Caenorhabditis elegans: one gene and its partners. The protein of the gene in region 3 interacts with the protein of the main gene of each other region in a pairwise test. Each region holds a gene or a part of one and is shown on either strand. Other genes may lie near its edges. The genes, in order: C27F2.10, npp-14 and puf-8.

Region 1 (6,348 bases), on a different chromosome or scaffold from region 3:
ATTTATGATGTAAAAAAGAAAGTGCTCATGGAGCATCTCAAAAGAGAAAATTAGACAGAGAGATGACATCCACACTTTTTTTTCGTTTTGCATAATCGTTTATAGACATTTTAAGGTTTCATCAAAGACTTCACTGCTGTTTCAATTATGAACTTTTGAAAATTATTTTGCATCACAAAATCTGCCAGAAAAATCGCTGAAAATTTGGGATTCTGGCACATTTTAAAGGAGATTGGTCCAAAATGTTGGATTTTTCTCATTTTTTCTTATTTTTCAAATGATATTTTTGGAGTTTCAGATATTTTTTCTAGTATTTGAAATCGAACTCTACATTCCCCGCTACTACTCATTTAAGAAGAAAGATTATTTCACTGCTAAAAATGAAAGTATGAAAGATTATTGAATATTCCGCCCCAACTAAATAAAAAATTGAAAGTTCGCTCACTTTTATCTGTATTCATTTCCGGGAAACTTGATAGGAAACATAAATATTTAAAAATTTAGAAATAATCAACAATTCTAGCCACTTTCGCTTCTCCCACGAACGTTTGAAGACGAAAAATGAAAAAAAAGTTACGTCACATTCCCGGTTTTCAAACTTTCACGTTAAAAATTCATTAGGAAGTAATTGTCTTGTTTTTGAAGGGTTTCTAATGGTTCTTCGGTATTTAATTGGTTTTTCTTACAGTAATTAGTATAAACAGCATTTAAAAAATGTCAAAATCTTTTAAAAAAACCGACAATTTTCGTACAATCATACATCATATCTGTGTGGGCTTTTTCCTTGAAAACATGCGTTAATTTTATGCTCTCGGCTTTTCTGTTCACTATGAAAAATAGCAATTAACTGGACAAAGAAAACGCTCGTTTTTTATGGTTTCCGTCACCTATTTTTGAATTTTCTGACATCGAATATGTATTAAAGAAACAGGAAATAAAGAACGACGAGGCGAGGATTTCCGAAATTGAAGATGAACTTTGATGCAATGAAATTTCTTAATATAAATTTGTTTTAGATCATGGAAACTACAAATTGTTGATTTTTCGCCATATTTAGTTCAATATTTGCTTTTTCTCTGTTCAAATACGGAGAGTTTCACTGACTAACAACTTACATTCGAAGGTTTTTATTTTGAACTCAATTTAGACAATAAATTTGCAAAATGAAAGAAAAAACCTTACTTGCATCAATAAACGAGAGCCCTCTTCGTTTTTGTTGCACCGCCATCGTCGTCGCCTGACGCACCTGCAAATTCAATTTTTAGTCACACTGGATTGAAAGTGATTTCCATTAAAATAAGAGAATTACATAAATAGACTTAAAAATATTTTTCCAGGAAGACAAAAACTCAATTTGTGTTTATGGTGCGTCCATAGTCTGCGAAAAAACCGGAGTTCCTCGCTTTTTTCTCCTCAAAATTCAAGAAAGTAGGCGTGGCCAACCAATCAGCTGTTGTTTCTTGTTTTCCCATTGCTCAGCTTAAAATTTTACAGCCTCTAATTGGTTGAACACGTCCACTATTTTGAAATTGACCAATAACAAAGCGAGAAACGCCTTGTTTTTTTCCTATGGACGCTTCCGCACGCGGGAAATTCCCGTTTTCCGCAGACTATGCACCATTAATTTGATCGGAAAAACACCAATTTGGCGGCGAACCAGGTGAAACGAGAATTGTCGTCAAATGAAATGTAATGTCTGCAATTGGGTACTGTAGACTTTAAAGGTGCATGATGAAATCTCGAAAGTTTGCTACGCAAAAATGCAGACATTTGTTTTCAATGTTTTTATTTTCTTAACGGGAATTGCCCATTTCCATGTTCTTTAATATTTTTCTCTGTGGTAGCTGAAAAAAAATGAAATAAAAACGAATAGAAAACACAATAAGGCACATAATAAATCGTAAGATCAATTAGAAGAGACACCAGAAAGCGTGGGGAATGCATTCATCTTTGAGATTACCAGTTTTTGATGTTGATGAGACAGATATCCTTTGATTTTCTTCTGCAAAACATATACGGATTAGGTTTTGAGGTGCAAAAAGTTTAAAGGCATCAGATTAAGCACAAAATGATACGCGAAAGAAATTATTGGGTTAATTTTTACTTTGTGCACTTACCGAAGCAATAAGATTTGCAATAATGCATTCCAATTCATCCATATCAACATCAGTGACTCCAACAAAGCGAAGAGCAGTTTGAAAAGCATCCAAAGGAATTTGAGCAGTTCCGACTATCTGACTTCTAAACAGAAAAAAATTATCAATAAACATGAAACCTTAATTTAACTCTTACACTTTTTTGAAAAGAGTTCGGAACGTGATCATTCGCAGCTTTTCAAGCATCAGAAAGATTCCACACTTGATGAAAAATGCTTCGTTAGCTGCAAGAGCTCCATCGAGTTGAGCCAAATTTCCATCTGAAAACGTTTCATGTTCAAATGTTGTTTTTTTTAAGTTGAAACCTTTTACACCAGCCACAACATCTTGAAACTCATCAAGTCGATACTCATGGAGAAGCTGGGATGTTGGCATGTGACCAAGAAACATTTTCACAGGAATTAAATAAATCAGAATCTTTCGCTTGTTCGACATACTGTCAGCTGGGCAGTTCCTGAATGCGTAGAGCAGAGATTTCTCGGCTGAAAAAAATGTATTGAACTCAAGATTTCAGATTTTAAAGAAAACCATACCCAGATTCAAATCGGCATCAAACATTGCTTTTCTACCAAGGAAATAGTTGTAAGCTACTTTATCCGACATCAAAAAATCATGATACAATGACCCACAATTATCGATTGCCCGGATCAATGGCTTCAGGAGATTCAGCTTATTTATCTAAAAATTATAATTACAATTCAAAAAAATTGAAGAAAGCATCAAACACCTGAAAATAAATTTGGAATAGCTGATTTGTCATATTCAACATTGCCACTTTCTTCGTGGTTCCCTCTTCGGCATGAACATCCGAAACACAAGTTCTGTAGCATTCTGTGATCGCTTTGGCGGCACTTTCAAAAAATGAATTCGCATTTGAATCTCCTTCATCATCACCAGACACGCATGCTTCTGCGCCTTTACTGAGCCATCTCAAATCAGTGCACAATCGATAGAAAATTGGAAGAAACCAGTTTTCGTCTTTTCGCTTTTGAAGAATCTCTTTGTTGAATAGTTGAATAATCTGCAAAGACAGCTCTTTTGAAAGCCTTTTTCGACTTTTTTTTCCAAATTCTATATTTCAAAAAACAATGAAATTACCTGAATCTGTGTCGACTGAGCCGTGATGAGATCTTGGGCCACGTGGATATTGTAGAGAACATGAAGATGCAAACAGACGATTTCATCGAAAACCTCATCTTCTGATACTCTGCATCGTTTTGATCTCGAACCGTACGCTTCAATCTGAAATTTATTCAGATTTCCAACAAATAGAAGATTCCAGATTCGCATACATGCATAAACGGTTCCTGTGCGTGCTCATCGTAAGTCGACACAAACTTTGAAATTTTCTCTCCATTTGTCCAGTCTTGTCGGTAAAGGAGGCTGAAAAATCACACATTTTTGGGTAAAAAACACTCAACTACCTCTCAATCTGACCAAAGTAGTCTTCAATACTTCTTACTGACGGCATTTTAACTATATTTCAGCTGCTGAAACTGAAAATGAATTAATTTTTGTCCTGCGCGCGCTAAATTCGTCAAAAAAAATTCAAAGAGGAGAAATGGCCGATTTTACCCTCCCCGCAAAACCTCGTCCGCGAGAGAAAAAAGCGCGGAAGTTCAAAACAAAAAAAAACAGTTGAGTTGATTTCCTTGGGTTACTGTTAAACAAGAATGGTATTTCGCATTTTTATGTCTAGAGATTCATAAAGTAAATTATTTTCACTGAGAAAGTCTCGAAAGTTTGAAGAAAGAAAGATTAGGGCAATCTTGTTGAAAATGGTCACCATAGCAACTAAAATGTGCAGCATTTGAACCACCCGAAAATCGAAGAAAGATTTCATTTTATTCCATTTTCTATGAAAAATGTCATCGAAAAGTAGAAGTTCGTCAAAGGAAAAGTGAGTTTTCGGGAATTTTTGGTTTTATAGTTGTGATTCAGAGATTCAAAGAAGGAGAAAAAGAAAGATAAAGAGAAATCATCGAAAGAAAAGAAAGAAAAGAAAGATAAAAAAGAAAAGAAATCAAAAACTATTAAGCCTGAGCCTGAGCCTGAACCAGTGAACGAATATGAAGATGACTTTGAAGATTATGAAGATGATTTCGAAGAAGATGATGAAGAGGAGAAAAAGGCTCCGAAAGTTGAAGAAAAGCCACAAAAGGAATCAAAAGTAGAAGCTGAGGTAGATAACGAATTTGTGATAAATCAATAGAGATACTTAGAAAAAAGATTGAAAATCAAAAGTTGCAGGTTTCATTTGAAAGTAATATCATGCAACGATTAGCAACAAGTCACATGAGAAGAACAGAAGCTTCTCCTAAACCAACAATTGCTCCAAAGATTTCAAATGCACAAATTACTGTTCAATCTACGGTAAGCTAAAAAAAATTCAAAAATTATTGATTTTCTTTAAAATGTTACCGTAACTTTGCTCGAAGACGCATAGTTTTATTCGGATGGGTCTCGACGCGAAAAAAGTTTATGGTAGTACTTTTTTATTTTTTCTATTTAATTTGAAAAGATGCACCTAGGTACAACTAAAATACTGAAAAATTGTTTAAAAATCAAGAAATATTGAAAAAAAAAAGATTAGACAAAAAATTTTTAATGTTCCAAAAAACTGTACGATAAAATTTTTCGCGGTGAGACTTATTTGAAAAGTAATAACTTCAGATTGACAATAAACCATATTCATATCACAATGAAGAAGAACGTCAGACACAAGAACAACGAGCATTTGGAAGATTAAACAAGCTTCGTGGACTTATCAGTAAGATTTTTATTTTTTATTTTATGAATAACTTCAACTGGCTTTAAAATATCATGCATTGACAATCTCCTATTATGAATGTGTAGTATTTAAAGATTTTTGAAATATTGTAACTTCAAAACTTTCAGAATCGCTTACTCAAACGCGCAGGTATTTACTCATACAGTAATCCTAACTTTTTCAGGTATCGAAGTAACAAAAAGTCAGGTCTTTACGGATTTATCTTCCAATATTTTTGAACCATTCAATTCCCTTCCATCAAATAAATCGCATGCCCTAACACAAACTGGAAAAGATTGTCATACAGAAGAAGTACAGACTGAGAGAGGAGAGACAGAAGAGAAAGAGACACAATGTCCACATTCAGAGAGTACACGAATTGAAGATGGAATAGAGAAAGAGAGAACATCAACTGATAGAGCCAGATTGAAGAAGTTCTTTTTTGCTGCAACACAGGTTTCATATCTGAGTTTGGAGGAAGAATCATTAAAAGTTTCAGACAATTCGAGAAATTCTCATCAGCGAGGATAAATCTGCCGAGGAAGATGAAACGAGGGAAAAGTCAATTTCTAAGTTTTCCAGGGGATATAATCCATTCCGACTTTGTCAAGTTGTCACTAGTGAGTTTTCGAAGTTTACAAGCCCGGCATTTGAGTGCAACTTTCTTTCGAACTTTGGCAACTTACTGACGAAGTTTGGTAATTTCTTGTCAATTTTTTGCATCTTTCGGCCAAATTTTGCCAACTTTCTGCTGAACATCGTAAATTTACAACTGACAACCTTCTGACAAACCTTGGTAAACTTTCTGCCAATACTTTGGACAGTTCATTCCTAACTGCCAAACTTTGACGACTTCAGCTTAAGTTTCAAAAAGTCGGTGACAGAGAGCTACATAGCTCAGCTGAGCATCATTGCAAAGTTCTATTACTTTCATGCGTTCTCCTTTTATGTGATAAAACGTTTTCAGAAAGTAAATCCACGTGTATCCGAAAAGGAGAATCAGACAGTGTACTAGTTGCTTATGAGATTTTTGAATCTCCCGCTCCTGATCTTATCAACAAGAGTCTTATTGTAGAGTTTTTCGTCCACAAAAGACGCCCACCAAAGAGGTAGGTTTGTGTTTTATTGAAAATACGGTACATGGTCTCGCAACGAACGAGATATTTCAAATTGAGGGCGCACAAAAAAAGGTGTACAGTAACCCACCCGCAGTTATCGATCATGATCTAGCTATTTCTTATTTTCAGACTTTTTGTGGTGGAAAGTATTGTGTCAGTGATGGAATTGAGTCAATCATCCCAGATTCTATATGTGTGTCTGGTAAATTTTAATAGTAAAACATGTCAGAATAAAATAAAGCTTCCAATGTTCAGATGGATGGAACATTCTGTGCATTTGATCTATCAATTACTGACGCATTCT
Region 2 (9,490 bases), on a different chromosome or scaffold from region 3:
ATATCTCAAAGATTCCAGTCGAGGATATTGTTGGTGTCAGTGTGCTTCTCCTTCGTTGCAAGTACAACGATCAGGAGTTCATCAATATGGGATGGTTTGTGGCAAATGAGTACACCGACGAAGAGCTCAAAGAGAATCCGCCTGCAAAGCCGCTCATCGAAAAGGTTCTGTTCTTTTCAGGAAAAAAACACTTTATTTCAAAAGTCATTCACACAAAATTATTTTTGATAAATCAAGCACCAGTTATTGTCTAATGACAGTCCATTCCTGATCGTCAGAACGGTTTTCGTCGAGTCCAATAAAGCCCTCCACCTTACTTCCAACGAAGACGATTGCTCCGGCAATTATAAAACTTGCATAAACAATTCCTCCGATAGCTTTGTCGAAAATGTATGTAGCGCCTCTGTAGTTGCTATTTTTGGTCGCTACACTAGCATGAGTTGAATTATTTTGCGCTGCAGTAGCTTTCATTTTCACAATCTGAAGGAAATAAATAAATATTATTAAACGAGCAATGAAACTAATGAAATAATTAAAAATAAAGAACGAAAAATAGTTGAGAGTGAGACAATGACAATGAGAGAACTGAATACGTTGTGCACGCTACCTGTCGAGCAGATGGACATCATCGATCGGGCTCACGCACACAGATGTACTGTATGGGATGACGTAATAAACCATCTGTTGTGGAAAGAGGGAAAAAGTGAAATGCTCTAAATTAATCTCAAAGTTCCTTCAGTTAAAAAATGTAGATAATTCAGTTTTGACCTTGAATTTTCAAAAATTTTCAGCTTTCCCGTAAAATCGAAACCGAAGATCTTCGCGTCACCACATTCCCAATTCGGTGGACTGATGAGGATCCAGTCGCCGAGCCGGTTGATGAAGAGGCAAACAAAGTATTCGATGAGGATGATCTTATGCCATTGCATGATGATGGGCAGGATGATGACGAGGAGGAAGAGGTGGGTAGAATCTAGCATTATCTGAATATAATAATTTACTGTTATTCAGGACGATGATGAGACGGGTCCCAATACTGAAGAAGTTGACTTGAACGAGAGCTTCAACGAACGAATGGCGAATGCACATGACGGAACGGAGCAAAAGAACGGAGAAGAAAGTATGGAACACGATGGAGCAAGTGGAGATGTTGAAATGGGTGGTAAGTGATACTTTCAATCATAAGTTAGATTGATTTTAATTATTTTTTGTTTTGTCTGTATCTCCCTATGATTGTAGATAATCAACTTTTTGTTCAGATAAACACTGATACGAAAGCTACCGAATCGATGGTCGATCCCCTTTCCGATACAACAAAACGCGATTTCAGATCTGGTTAATTTGTATTTAAATATTGCTTTCTTAACTTGCATTTTTATTCATCTCCGATACTCACTATCAGTTACTGTAAGATTTTTGAATTGCATCTAAAATTACTTCACTTTTTATTCAAAGTGTCATATATGTCAAATTGCCTTTAAAGGAGATTTTAGTTTTCTGAAATGAAGTTGCTTTCCGTTCGTTTTAATCTGTGGATATGTATCATTTTTGAGGAGTGTTTTCGGCTGGCTTTGTTTCCGCCCCTGGAAGTTGAAGGATAGATAATTCTAAAGAAGCTTAATTGACAAAATTTATGAAAATGAATATTCAAAAACACGACAGACAACAAAATAACCGGTCCGAGATAATCAATAAAACAAGTACTTGGGAAAATAATTGGGGAGATGGACTATAAACTACAATTAAAGTTTGATGAATCAATATGTTAGACATTAAAAATATATTATCGCCATGATGTGAAAGATGTCGGTTTATTGGCATTGGCAGATGCTCCTCCTCCAAACACAGAAGATGTCGGAGCTGGAGTTGTGTTAGCTCCACCACCGAAGATAGAAGTATTCGTCTGTGGAGTTGCACCTCCACCGAACAAAGATGAAGTCTTCTGGCCTGATGCAAATTGAGCAAATCCACCAGTGGCAGGGTTGTTGGTTGTGGAAGATGTTGCTCCTCCGAAGATTGAAGCATTTTTAGATAATCCTGCATTCGCCCCTCCTCCGAATGGTTTAGCACCAAATGCTGGTTGCGATCCGAATTTCGGAGCTCCTCCAAAAACTGACGACGTTCCTGTTGCAGGTGCAGATGCTTGTTGAGCTGACGATCCGGCAGTGTTGAAAGAAAACGACGGCTGAAATAGGAAATAAATGCTTACAATACAATGAGACTCTTGAAACGATACTTTTTGCTGTTGCTGTTGTTGTTGATTACCACCACCACCAAAAAGCCATGAACTGCTACTGGCTGATGTCCCAGTTGACGTCTTCGGTGCAAACGGATTATTTCCACCAGAAGTGTTGGATGTTCTCGCATTTCCAAGTCCACTCATAAAACCTCCAGAACCTCCACCATTTGCCATTGAATCGTCTTCCATTCCATCATCCACATTTGGAACTGTAGGCGCAGTCACTGAACCTCCGAAAACGGAGGATGGTTTAGCAGAGGCGCCTGCACCGAAAGATCCAAACCCTGCCGGCTTTGCTGATGCCGACGTTGCTCCAGTATTAAACGAAAAAGTCACAGAAGCAGTAGATGTTGCAGGGTTCGAAGTTTTAGCCGGTTGGCAACCAGCCTGTCCAAAACTTCCAAATGGAGAGCTTGCTGCTTTTGAGCCACCTCCAAAAATACTTGACGTGTTCGATGCAGGTGTAGGGGTGGCCGTTGTTGTGGTTCGAGCTCCAAAAATATTTGTTGAGTTGGAAGAGCTGGGAGTTTGAGTTTTAAGACCACCGCCAAAGATCGATGAGGTGGAGGAAGTCGACTTTGGGGTAGTTGTTGAGTTGAACGCTGAAAGTAATTTTTTTAAATTTCAGTTGATTAAAGTATGGAAACAATACATTTATAATGTTCATATAATTACATCGATTTAATCGAATATCATTCTTTGGTTGAAACTCATTTTTTTAACAACAAAAAAGGAACTTACAAAAACTTGGTGTTTTTTGTATATTACTTCCCGTTTCCTCTTCTTTCACTGGAGTCTGAACAGCTGGTTTTGGCTCCTCTTTCACTTTTGTTTCTAATGATTTAGGCTCTTCAGACTTCAAGTCAGGTGTAACTTCATTTTCAGATTTTTCATCTTTTACTTCTTCAGTTTTATTCAGTGTCTCCACTTTCGAGGATGCTTTTTCGATTTCTTGTGGACTGATGCTCAGGGAACTGTTAATCAAAGAAGGCACTCCAGTTGTTAATGTAGACTCTTCTTTGGAAACTAAAGGTGTTTGTGTTTTTGTTCCAAACAAACTACCCGAAGAGAAAATGGAAGATGATGCTGGCGTAGAAATGATTGGTTTTTGATCTTGTGTTTTATTTGCTTCTTCTTTTGGAACTGTTACTTTTGGTGTCGTCATTGTTGTGGTCGCAGTTGTTGTATTGAGCTTTATCAATGGCGAAGAGACAGCTGGAGCAGAAGCTATTGGCTTTGCTGGTGATTCAACTGTTACCACGACAGTTTTAACAATAGGAGGTTCATCGGCTTGAGTTGCTGCATCTGATTTAGTGGATGGTGTAGATGGAGATGCAGAGAATAGTGAAGAAGATGGCATAACTCGTCTTGGTGTCATACTCAACTTGAGAATTGCATTTGAAAGATTTGAAGTATCGAGCAAATCATTTTTCATTGCTGCCGAATTTTCTGACTTTTTATAAGACTCCACGATGACGTTTCTAGTCTTCACAATTCCTCGTTTTTGAATTTGATTCACAAGTGCTTGTCTTACTTTGATACTTTCTGCATCAGTGAGAGATTTTCCTTGAGGAGCGTCTCCATCTAGACTACTCATCTCCAGTGGTTGCGTGAAGTTCAGATTTTCCTTTCCCTTCTTGAAGTTTTGAAATTTGACGTCCCTTTGGAAACGGACAAATTCTAATTCAGTTCGCTGAATTTGCTCTCGGGTATCCATGATGATTTTTGAGACGTTGCGCATAACTTTAAGAGCCAACTCGGTTTCACTACCGGAGCGAAGTTGATTGAGATTTGAACTGAGACGAAGTGGTGACAATATTGCCTGTTTTCGAAGTGACTCCTGTAAAAATTATATTAAAATAAGTAAAAGTAAAGAAACGATGCAAACCTTCTCAGACAAGCTCATTCTCAGTTTTTTAATCAAATCGCTACATTCTTCATATTTTCCATTTAACAAATCGGCAGCAGTCTCCAGTTTGTTGAATCTCATCAGCTTCTCAGTTTCTGACATATTTCTGAGCTTCTCTAAAACTTGATTGCCATCTTCCACTCCGGCAACTAATTCCATTTTTTCGTCGATTTCAAAATCCATTTCCTTCACCGTGTGTTGTGTTCTGTCAGACATTCGCTCGATCGACAAAATTAGATTTTTCAGTTCGTCCATAACTTCTTTAGAATCTCCTAATGATGCCCTAACCACATCAGCACATTCCATAATTGTAGTTTTCACTTTTCCCACAGCAAATGATAATTTCATCGTAGCATCTTTAGCTCCAGCCATTGAATCATTGATTTTATCCATTCTTTCGATAAGAACCTGCTTTTTGGTTGCAATCAGTTCAGCCTTTTTATGTTCCAAAGTTTTGTCTGAAATTTTCGGAATTGCTTCTGATTTTGGTGTTGACGCAATTTTTGGTTGGGAACTTGGAGCTGCCGGAGTTGATGGCTTGGATTCTGTTAACTGTGATGTCTCAATGTTGCTTGCGATTGATTTAGGGTTAAAAAGTGATGATGAAGGTTTAGGTGTCTGAACAGATGATGGAGATCCAACAAGAGATGATTTTAGAGTTTCAGCTTCTGGTTTTTGCCCAAACACCGTAGACGGTTTTGTAACGGGTGTCTGATCAGAAGGTGGAGCAGATATGGGTTTCTGTGAATCAAATTGGAGCTTCTTTAAGTCATTGATCGCCAAATTTTGACTGGACCTGAAAAAGATAATATTATTATATTCATCAAATTTTATTACTACGTACATTTGACAAGGGATATGAGCTGCAAATGTGCTAATGATGTGATGAGCAGTGAGAATGCCGTCGTTTGTTAAACAAAGTACGAGAGGAGATGGGCGATGTCTCTGAGAGCCGTCAGGATCTGAAAAGAATGAATACATTTGTAGAAAAATAGTTTCGAAATTAATGAAACCGTAAAAAACATAACGTACTGAGTAAAACCTCATCTGTCATTGAACGATCAACCGCAACTCCAATTGGAACTGTATCTTTACCACTAGACGTAGTTGGCAAGTAAATACTTTCTCCTTCAACAGGAACCCATGTTTGCCAGTCATCTCGTTTTCCAACTGTTGATATTTCACTTGTTTTCGAATTTCCGACAATTACAACATTCCAGTCGACAAGAAGTTGAGTAGCTGGGAACAGTTGAGGAGGAAGAGGCCATTTGGAAGAGGAATACGAGAGCTCGTGAAATTGAATCCATTCGGTTGGTTTATCTTTTTTACACCGCATTAGGTAAGCATCTTGATCTGTTCCATTTTCAAGAGATACCAGCCATTCTGTTGTAGCCAACCAACATAAACCAGTAATTCTTCCATAGTTCGGCTTGTTCTCCGGTCCATGCTGACTACGAACAACCTCCAATTCGGGTTTCAACTGCACAATTTTTCCCAGCGAATCTCCAATCGTCAACTGTTTTCCTTTTGGACTCCAACTGATTGCCGTGGTGACAGCACCAAATTTTCCGATTCCAACAAGTTTTTGATTTGCAGGACTTTGAACATTAATCTTGGCGACTAAAATGCTACGATCTGTTGAAGAAGCAGCAAATGTATCTGGGAAAGCAGGATTCCACTCGAGACAACTTCCTTGATTAATTTGTTCAGTTCCAACTCTTGTAGTACACAACGGCTTGAAGGGTTCAATGCTTGAACTTGTACAAATTTTCTTAATATCGAAAACATCGACAGAAACGTCATTGTTTTTAGTATGAAGAACTCCGAGAACTGTTCCATCAGAATTAACTCCCATGTCGTTGATTAAAACGACCCCATGAAGACGAATTGTTTTTATTGGTAGATCCGTAACTTCAACGTTCATATTTTCTCGGGTGATTTTGTAACCAAGAAGACTTTTTGTATGGAAGCATGATAACTGAAAAATAATTTTGAAAACGATTGAACAAGTCATAATTTTACCTGATTAGAATTAACTGTTACAAAGGTAACTCCCAATTGAGATGACGTAGCAACTCGGTTTCGAATGTTTATCTCATTTTGACTGTACCCATCTGACTTTGATGAAAAAAGCCGAAACTTCCGGCAAGTGTGGAAATGAAAGTCGGTGACTTGAGAAACGTCTTCAGCAACATCTTCGTTCGACATCTCTGAAAACACGAAAAATAGATGTAAAAAAAATTGAGGAGAAAATGTTCAAAAGGATGTCTGGCATAAGAAAAAACGGGCATTCAAAAACCGATCAAGAGCTTTTTGAACAAATTCAGAGGATGTATGTTCTTTAATATAGATAAGGAGTTAAAAAATATAGTATTTTCTTTCAATTAATAAAAAACAAACGTTTATTTTGAAACACTTCGAAAATTCTTTAAATTCGCCAAAATACAACTGGAAACGCGTAAGCTTGCACTCAAAGTGCGCCAGCTGTCAAAAAGTGCGCCAGCACGCGTCCGTTTCGTGAGGTTAGCGAAATTGCGAAACATTTTATCGGATTCCTTGTTTTCTCCATCGATTTCTGTGCGTTATTGCCTTAAATTGACTGAAAATGGCTACACGAGGACCAACACCTGACAAAGCGAGAATGGGACTGCCTGATAGATGGCTGCACTGTCCAAAAACCGGAACGGTCTGTGCAAAATCTGAGATTTCGGTTGTTCATTGTTCTCATTTTCAGCTTATCAATAATTTGTTTTTCCCATTCAAAACACCACTGTGTAAAATGTATGACAATCAAATTGCCGAAAGACGGTATCAATTCCACCCGGCAGAAGTTTTTTCACATCCTCATCTTCACGGAAAAAAGATTGGGTTGTGGATCGACCTCACAAACACTGATCGTTATTATTTCCGCGAAGAAGTATGAAATTCAATTAAAAAAATAAATTTGTAACAAAACGATTATGTTCAGGTTACCGAACACGAATGTATCTATCATAAAATGAAAATGGCTGGACGTGGAGTGTCGCCGACTCAGGAGGACACGGACAACTTCATTAAACTCGTTCAAGAATTTCATAAGAAATATCCAGATCGTGTTGTCGGAGTGCATTGCACTCACGGATTCAATCGAACAGGATTTTTAATCGCTGCATACCTATTTCAAGTAGAGGTATTTACTGTTTAGTTCATCATGACAATCCAACTGTTTAATTTTCGAGAAGCTAAAAATTTATGTACTCATTTATTGGAATCAACGCATGATATTTTGTTGAGAAGTGTCTAATTAAATACGTTTCTTTTTGAATCAGAAAAAGCTCAGAGAATAAAAAGTTGATTATCTTTTTTAAACTGACAGGATATTTTTAAGGAATATGGTCTCGATGCTGCAATCGGAGAGTTTGCTGAAAATCGACAGAAGGGAATTTACAAGCAAGACTACATCGATGATTTATTTGCAAGATATGATCCCACAGAAGATGACAAAATTCTGGCTCCCGAGAAGCCAGACTGGGAACGAGAAATGTCTATTGGCATGAGTACACAAATTGACAACGGACGACCATCGACAAGCCAACAAATTCCCGCAACGAACGGTTTGTCTTCAATTTCAAGCCTTAACGTTTAAATAATTTTATTCAGGAAATAATAATCAAAATGGAAATCAATTGAGCGGAGGAGGAGATAATTCGAAATTGTTCATGGACGGATTAATTCGAGGAGTTAAAGTGTGTGAAGATGAAGGGAAGAAGAGCATGCTTCAAGCCAAGGTATATCATTTTCTCACAATTCTTTAGCTGTATAGTTTTTTCTTTAGATTAAAAATCTCTGCAAATACAACAAACAAGGATTTCCGGGTCTCCAACCCGTATCTTTGAGCCGTGGAAACATAAACTTACTCGAACAGGAATCATATATGGTATCATGGAAAGCTGATGGCATGAGGTTAGTGAATATTCTTTAAAATTTCATTTAAAGATTTTTTAAAATTTTAGGTACATCATTTATATCAACGATGGAGATGTCTATGCGTTTGATCGTGATAACGAGGTTTTTGAGATTGAAAATCTTGATTTCGTGACAAAAAATGGTGCACCATTGATGGAAACCCTTGTGGATACTGAAGTCATCATTGATAAGGTATGAAAACTCATAATTTATGAATGAATTATTTGTTTTCTCAGGTTGAAATCAATGGAGCCATGTGTGATCAGCCTCGAATGTTAATCTATGATATTATGCGATTCAATGTAAGTTGATTTCAATCGGAAAGAAAATGTATTATTCGTTTCCAGAGCGTTAATGTGATGAAAGAGCCATTTTATAAACGATTTGAAATCATCAAAACTGAAATTATCGACATGAGAACTGCTGCATTCAAAACTGGACGCCTGAAGCACGAGAACCAGATTATGTCTGTCAGAAGAAAAGATTTTTATGATCTTGAAGCAACTGCTAAATTATTTGGACCGAAATTTGTGCAGCATGTCGGACACGAAATTGATGGTCTCATTTTCCAGCCGAAGAAAACTGTGAGAATTAAAATTAAATTTTGAACGTGTTTGAGAATGATATTTTACAGAAGTATGAAACTGGAAGATGTGATAAAGTTCTGAAGTGGAAACCACCATCTCACAACTCTGTTGATTTTCTACTGAAAGTTGAAAAGTAAGTTTCTAAAGAGGAAATTGAAGGGTATCAAGAGAATAATCGAATTGCAGGAAATGTAAAGAAGGAATGCTTCCCGAATGGATTGGATATTTATTTGTCCAGAATCTTTCCGATCCATTTGGCACAATGAAAGCAACGGCAACTCTCAAAAAGTATCATAATAAAATTATCGAATGTACACTGCTGGTTGATAATCAAGGACGGGTAAACATTATTTTTTGATGCAAATCTATGTTGAAATTAATATTAGTTTTTAATTTGGTTACTTTTTTTCAGCCAAAAGAGTGGAAATTTATGCGAGAAAGAACAGATAAATCGTTGCCGAATGGATTACGAACTGCGGAAAATGTCGTTGAAACTATGGTGAATCCTGTCACTGAAACCTATTTAATTGAGTGAGTTAATTTATAAAAAAATAAATAAACGGAGTATCATAATTAAAATTTTTTGATCTTCGGCACGTTTTCAAAATTTTCAGTCAAAGTTTTTGGAAAAACTGGATCTTTTTGGGAATTTCTGGTTTTTTTAATGCAGGGCAGTTTCTAAAGGTTAAATCAAGGCTGAATCCGGAAAAAAACTTTTTTACGGAAGTTACGTTAATTTGTTGTTTTTAAAAAAGATACTTCAATCATATATTCACTGTGGAAAAAATTGTATAATTTTACAATTAATTA
Region 3 (6,933 bases):
TTACTAGCCGGAATCTTTGTTTTTCAGAAAACGAGAGCAATGAAACATCAGATGCTAATCTCACAATTATTGCTTGTTTAACACGATTATCCTTGCTCGTTTCGACGTAGTCGATGCATTTATCAATATCGTTCTCATTCGCAATGTGAACTCGACGAGCTGCATTGACACGCACACTTTCATCAACATCATGAACACTCTTCCACAAAACTGTAAAAAAACGTGAATTCTGGTTAATAAAGAGTGTTGCCAACTTACGATCATTCACAGTTACTTCATCACAACATGTGGTTTTACATTCAATATCGTGGTCCCACAGTGATAGAGCAATTACAGCTTTACATCTAACTTCTGGCGACTTGTCCAACAAACTCTTCGCCAATTTTCCCATCCATCGGTTTTTCACTCCGCTTGGAATCATAACTTCACTCTCTGTAGGATCTTCATCAGAGAGGAATGCGTCATCTCCATGCTCCCGCATAACATCAGCATACCGATTCGCTTCTTCCATAAGACACGCGATGAGTCGATAAATGCGACAACGAACGAAAGAATCAGCGTGCAAATAAAGACGATCGACAAGAAGAATCAGCTTATATAGAAGATCACTGCACTTCATTGACTTGTTTTTAATTGCAAGTTTTGCGATGAATATCATAAGTACATGCTCGGCCTCCTCAGCACCTTGATCTCGTTCTCGTTCATCAACAATAATCGATATAAGCCCTTCAATTATCGAATCAATAACAGTATTCCGTTTGCAATCTAACATAGTTGACTTGAAAATTATTTTGTGTGCGACGTCAAAAAGTGCTATCGCTGCAGGCTCTGCTCTATATGTGACTTCGGTGAACACTCTTCTTATACGAGCTGTCAGAACATCCAACGGAACTTCTTCTGTAACATGATTGTCTTATAACGTTTATATATACTCACAAACAAACCAATCGTCAAAAGATTGAAGTCCTCTTCATTTAAATCCAGCTCCTTCTGTTCTTGTATGACTTCTTCATTAATTTCATCTTCTCCGTTTGCATCATCACTTTGTTTACTTACTGAGCTCTGAATAGGCTCATCGAAACTGTCGTTTTGAGGTTCGTTAGCTTTCGATGAAGCTTCTTGAGAATCAAAACTGTCTTCACACGCAGGTTCTTCAAAACTATCTTCATCGTTATCCTCTTCTACCATATCATCGAAAAGATTTCCGAGATGATCACCAGACTCCATCTCAAACATTTAGATTTGTGCGAAAACGGTTTTCAAGTAATTCAAGATATATAAGGGAGATATATAAACATCTTTAAAACAAATGTTCAACAACTTTTTTTTCAAATTTTTATGCTAAAATAAGATTAGGAAAAAATTACAAAACGAGTAACATTACAAATTACGATAAGCTGTCTACAGAAATGCACAGGGAATAACAAAAAGAACCGGTATAACAACCGGATTTGAGATAACTAAAGGTACATTTGTGAGGAGTTGAGTGTTGGGAATAGTACAAAACTGATTGGGCTAGTGAGATCCCTGCATATCTTGGTATGGATAGCTCATGACAGCCGGCTTTTGAAAATATTTTTCAAGTTTTGCTGCAAATTAAGGTTGAATATTATTAAATCATTCTTTGCAATATCTTACCAAGAATGTGCTTTCCATGAGGGAATTGTCTCAAAACGGGAATGTGTGGACGAACAGTTAGGATGAGTTCACGGCGCTGTTCTGATGTAACCTGATCGAACATTTTCTGAACAACGTAGTTGGCGTACTGATCTTTCATCATTTGGACAACAATCGGTACAGATCTGAATGAAATAATTATATCTACATTTTTCATGAATATACATACCCTTCCTGATGGTGACACGCAGCTCCTACGATCATGGACTTGTGATAAACTGCGCCTTGTTCCAAACATTTTTCGATAACGTTCGACGAGTACTTGTGGGTGGCAAACTCGAATAGATTGTTGGAGACACGAGTAACAATAACCATTCTATCCTCTTCACTTCCATGTTCAATGACGTGTTGAACCACATAGTTTCCGTACTGATTATTTGCAATTTCGTCGAAACGTTTATGAATTTGGCCGATAACAGGCTTCGTCTGCGAAGGACTGCAGTGTTCGAGACAACGTTGGACAACACGACAACCGTAGGGATCCACAGACATCTCGTAAATTGTGTTGCTGGATTCTAGAAGCGTATCGACAATGAATTGGACGTACTGTGGACTGACTTTCTCTATGGCCTTCTGAACCACGTGGTTTCCATTTTGATCTTTCATACAACGATGGATGACGTGTCGGATTTGAGAAAGAATTTTTATTTGAAGTGGCTCATTGATTTTTTCCAAAGCTTTCTGAAGAACACGGCAGGCATACATTTGAAACGCGTATTCTGGTACACGATCAATTATTGCATCGACGAGCCGAGCCCAATGCCTTTCTTCGCCATATTCGAAGAATTTCTGCACTACGTAGTTGCCGAAAATATCATCAACGAGCTCATCAGCATTGGAAACGACTTCATCAAATATAGAGTCCTTCTCGAATCTGTCCTTACTGGAAGCAAGTTCCTGTTGAATGAATCTCGAGCCAACTTGATCTTTGGCAAACTTCAACAGTGCTCCACGAATGTCTGATAATTTTAAATTCTTCATCATGGCTGGATTTGCACGATATCTAGTTAGAAGATCGTCGGTGGTTGTTGGTTCCCTGAAATATACAAATATTTAAACTATTTTTGAGTTTAGAAAAAAACCTGTAGGGATTTGAAAATATGCCTGTGGCAGACGGTTGAACCGGTACACGAATACTTTGAGAATGCGCTTGGTGCATTTGTAAATCATTATATGCTGTAAAAACGGAGAATTTCCATATTCGAAATATGTTTTTACTAACCTTGTGCTTGTAGCATTTGTGTCATTTGATTCGAAAACATATTAGAACCATTGTATTGATGATTCATGTAGTTGTTATTGATAGTACTCAAGACATGACCGACATTAGAGCTGATTGGAATATTTTCTTGAGCACAATAACACGATGGTGGAGTTCCGAACATGTGCAATGTATTCTGGCCAATTACTTTTCCTCCTTGATGCATGTAAGTGGCAAATTGAAACTCTGGTGTATCGGGAAGGCGTTCATTTTTTGGATTGGTAGAAATATGACGGCCATACGATCTCTGAAATCATTGTTTTATTGAAAATTTAATTGACAAACACTGCGGCAAATCTATCAGTGTGATTTATTGCATGAACATTGTATTTCTATTCAAAATAAAAAATAATTTCAATATTGCAATAAACAAGACTCACAATCGGAGATCCGCATACACTATCCACTATTTTCTGAGCACCGATGCTCCTCCCAAGAGATTCAATCGGAGAAGCTGAAGGATCAAATGTGCATGTATTCCCAATTGAAATCGGACGACTCATCAGGAACGCAGATTACCCCTAAAATAATTACTTTAGGTCAAGGAGGCATAGTTCAGCTTGAAAAAACAATTGCAACGCGTACTTTATTTATTTTTATTAATTAAAATAGTTGCACATGAGAATTTAGAACATTAAAATGAGAAAACAATGAAAAACAATCAAAAATCACTATTTAGAACAGGAGTTCCGTATTTATTCGGATAATTTTCGAACGAATACCGTAGTCGTGGTGTTCGTGGTGAAACCCATTTCTCCATTAAATGCATGTTCCTTTAAATTATTGAGGTTCCGCACGCACTTGAGAGTCCATGGAAAGGAGAACTGGTGAAAAACTTAATATACGAAAAGGTAATATGCTGAAAGGAGGCGTGGCATGTAGGAGAGTAGAAAAAACATTTTTTTCGACTTTTTGAAAAAATAGTAGGCTTGGATTATGTAGTTTCAATATGGTGTCGGGTACTGTATTTTCTGAAAACCCATGTGATTCGAGTTCGCGGCGAGACCTAATTCTTCAGGGACCTAATTTTATACGAATCCCAAGCTGACCTAGTGAAGACCCTGTGTAGATGTAACAGTAAATGTAAACATAGCATTTATATTAATCTCCGTTTTTCTGGAGATCAAATGCTAAGTAGATCAATTGAATATACTTGTGCTCTCAGAGATACCTGCTCCAAAGTCGATATTTCCTCACTCTCAACTCTTCAGAACTGGCAGAAAGTGTATGAATGAGTGTTGTTATGCATAGTATTGAATATTCTAAATTTATTTTCCATGTGCTTTGTGCTTAACATAGCTTGACCGTTTTGATTCTTTCTTTACAATGAAATGGATATACATCTTCATCTTTTTATTCTCGGGAGTCGAATGACCGTTTCAAAAACTTCAAAGTGTGTAGAGCATGCAAAAGCAAACAACGTGAAGATTCTCGACAAATTTAGTTTTTTTTTTTCTTCCCGACCGTCCGTTCGCCGGCCATCGTATCAAATTTCCTCCCACCTCTATTTCATTGTCATCTCCATTCCAACCCCTTTCTGACCTTTAACGAGAATTAGATTTTGTCTGTTTGTGTATATTTAATTTTGGAAAACAAAGCCTCACATCGAAAAAGGTTGCAGGCTGGCCGATCGTACGAGCGTATTGTGTGTGTGTACGAACATAGAGCGTCCGATTGCATAAGGTTCGTGTAAAGCAGCTTCCGGCCGTGGGAACAACACCATAGTTTGTGTGCCGAGAAGCGACGCCCCTTGTCTCCTCACAGTCCCATCTTTGTTCTTGCTTCGTAACTTGAACTCATCACGACCAAATAGAGTCTTTGACTAGGTGTACCCTTTGGTTGCCATGGTTAAAAGTCTTCATTATTTTATATTACCTTTAATTGGTAATGCCCTAATTCTAAATACACCACCTGAATATCAACCTGGATATGGTTATGTTGGACCAGCATGTGCTGTATTTGTAAGCATTCGTAGAAAACAATTTGAAAATATCTTCCAAATCTTTCAGGACAGTACCCTATTCCTTCATGGTGTTTCCAAGCGAAAGTTGAATGATCACGAACTACACATATTTAGTTCGTATCAGCATGATCTAAGTGCATTCAAAGAGTTTGTCATTCTATTCTCGATTGTTTTGAAAATTAAGCGTTTTACAGTTCATCATCTTCATTTGATTCTTTCGAAGCCTCGTTTCCTACAATTCCAAAATTCTGTGGAGGGTATGATGATTCTATTGAAGTGGTGTTGGATTCTTGTATTGTTCGAGTAAGTTTTTTTTTCCAATTGTGTATAGTTAGAACCATCTGGTTTTAATGTAAATCTTCAATATTACGGTATCAGGGGTCGACACGATCGGAAATTGATAGGTCAAAGACGCTTCGAGACCAATTACCGTATTCTTTTGTCAGAATCTATGAAATAGTCACTTCACTTTTTAATTACTACAATTAACAAATACGGTTTTTTTCTAGAATAATCACGTCTACGTTGGAGATCATCTTATCCGACCATTAACAAACTTTGAGAAACAGAAAATACAGTTAGTTAAAATGAGACGAATGTATGGAGAATCAAAAAGGAAACGTAGCAAAAGAAGCTCGAAACCATTGTAAGTTCATCCAATATTCTGCATTTTCAAATAATCTTGTTTCAGGCCTGGCACACGACCACAAAGAGATTTTAGTGAAATGCTTCACAAACTTTTGAATATTAACTCTACAGTAACTTCTCGATTCCTTCCAGTAGTTAGTCAAAGTCCTCTCTTTGCAATGGAAGGTCCGTGGCAGAATTTGTTTGAACTCGGGAAAGGTGATTTCCTTTCTTCGAGATATTTGTTATGAAAATTAAACATTTCATTATTCCAGATAAGGATATGATTGAATTATTAGCTGCTTCACAATTTAAACCCCAATTACCACCCGTTGCATCAGTTCCAGTAGCTCCAGTCATTGATATTACGAAGATTGATTCTCCGTATAGAGCCACTTTTACAACAATGAAACCAAGAAAATCACAGAAACCAGAAAAAAAGAAAGAAGTTTTCAATGTTTTCACTACTAAAACTAATCCTCAAATTACCACGACTACTATGACAACCACAACAAGAACATCCACAGGTAACATCTACAAGACAACTATTTGAAAAATTCAGTATATACAACATTTTCAAAATTGCAATTTATAATTAATAAATTAAGTTAACATCCGATTAAAGCTGTCAATTTTCAGCCATTCCAACAACTACCACAACTCCAAGACAAATATCACTTCAAACGATTCCATTTTCAACCACAACTAGACAACCAAATTTTGATAAAACCAAGACTCCTGCAACAATGCCATCAGCTTCTTCTTCTTCACTTTCAAGTATTCAAACAGTTGTTGATCCAATTATCTTGAAGTTAATTTCAAAGGCATTGGAAAAAAATGAAATGATTGATGAATATTCATTGAAACAGGCTCTATCGATGAGAAATGTTGCAACTACTACTGTAGGTTTAAATCTTTAATACATCTGAATTATCAATTATTTCAGACTCCTCTTCCACTTCGTTTCATTCTTCCAACACCTGCAGCCCCAAATCCATTTCTACCGTCTACAAGAGTTGGAGGTCTTTCTCATAATCATCTATTCATTCCCCATCAACCGTTTACTACTCTTGTTTCGACCGATTCTAGATATTCTGCACCGAACCCTCTTTCTCATCGACTTCCAAACGAGATTTGCCGAGTTCATATGAATTCAAATCCTTTCCATTTTTAGTTTTATTACTCTACCAAATAATTAAACAGACTTTTCCTATCGGGTCCCCTAATTTTCTTTCATTTTTCAGGCATCTCGGTTGTTTTTTTCAAAGTATTTTGACCTAATTTTCCATGTTGAAATTAATAAAATATTTATTAAATGAACACAAACACAGATGTTGGAATTGTCTTCTTCTGGTCAAGTACTGGATATACTCTCTTTTTTTGATAATGCTGAATTGATAAATTT

What was found.
Region 1: the proteins of puf-8 (region 3) and C27F2.10 interact in a two-hybrid assay, tested with the Caenorhabditis elegans proteins (one study listed by BioGRID).
Region 2: the proteins of puf-8 (region 3) and npp-14 interact in a two-hybrid assay, tested with the Caenorhabditis elegans proteins (one study listed by BioGRID).

Annotation. Positions count from the first base shown.
Region 1 is NC_003281.10:4,983,247-4,989,594, forward strand, and holds C27F2.10 (PCI domain-containing protein 2 homolog), read right to left. Parts: upstream 3,653-6,348; 5' UTR 3,628-3,652; coding exon 3,581-3,627; intron 3,540-3,580; coding exon 3,449-3,539; intron 3,399-3,448; coding exon 3,255-3,398; intron 3,178-3,254; coding exon 2,884-3,177; intron 2,835-2,883; coding exon 2,690-2,834; intron 2,639-2,689; coding exon 2,462-2,638; intron 2,417-2,461; coding exon 2,293-2,416; intron 2,242-2,292; coding exon 2,118-2,241; intron 2,003-2,117; coding exon 1,907-2,002; 3' UTR 1,773-1,906; downstream 1-1,772. Other genes in the region: putative F-box protein C27F2.7, read right to left, coding at 1,183-1,228; wdr-60 (WD Repeat protein), read left to right, coding at 4,022-4,056, 4,098-4,338, 4,407-4,529, 4,830-4,926, 5,111-5,382, 5,426-5,546, 5,894-6,035, 6,174-6,246 and 1 more.
Region 2 is NC_003279.8:9,658,558-9,668,047, forward strand, and holds npp-14 (Nuclear pore complex protein 14), read right to left. Parts: upstream 6,359-9,490; 5' UTR 6,357-6,358; coding exon 6,171-6,356; intron 6,127-6,170; coding exon 5,181-6,126; intron 5,111-5,180; coding exon 4,993-5,110; intron 4,945-4,992; coding exon 4,128-4,944; intron 4,080-4,127; coding exon 2,981-4,079; intron 2,842-2,980; coding exon 2,237-2,841; intron 2,186-2,236; coding exon 1,784-2,185; 3' UTR 1,617-1,783; downstream 1-1,616. Other genes in the region: asfl-1 (putative histone chaperone asf-1-like protein), read left to right, coding at 1-164, 792-962, 1,012-1,162, 1,260-1,270; C03D6.9 (Aa_trans domain-containing protein), read right to left, coding at 244-471; cel-1 (mRNA guanylyltransferase), read left to right, coding at 6,754-6,834, 6,883-7,065, 7,117-7,317, 7,516-7,741, 7,788-7,915, 7,963-8,090, 8,141-8,285, 8,330-8,395 and 4 more. UniProt on the Caenorhabditis elegans protein: May serve as a docking site in the receptor-mediated import of substrates across the nuclear pore complex. Plays a role in apoptosis by tethering caspase ced-3 to the nuclear membrane preventing its autoprocessing in absence of ced-4.
Region 3 is NC_003280.10:7,294,789-7,301,721, forward strand, and holds puf-8 (PUM-HD domain-containing protein), read right to left. Parts: upstream 3,460-6,933; 5' UTR 3,442-3,459; coding exon 3,319-3,441; intron 3,186-3,318; coding exon 2,900-3,185; intron 2,854-2,899; coding exon 2,760-2,853; intron 2,714-2,759; coding exon 1,847-2,713; intron 1,803-1,846; coding exon 1,639-1,802; intron 1,590-1,638; coding exon 1,516-1,589; 3' UTR 1,327-1,515; downstream 1-1,326. Other genes in the region: C30G12.6 (uncharacterized protein), read right to left, coding at 1-210, 259-897, 945-1,227; C30G12.1 (uncharacterized protein), read left to right, coding at 4,783-4,899, 4,948-5,048, 5,096-5,204, 5,411-5,547, 5,593-5,747, 5,804-6,055, 6,168-6,430, 6,475-6,702.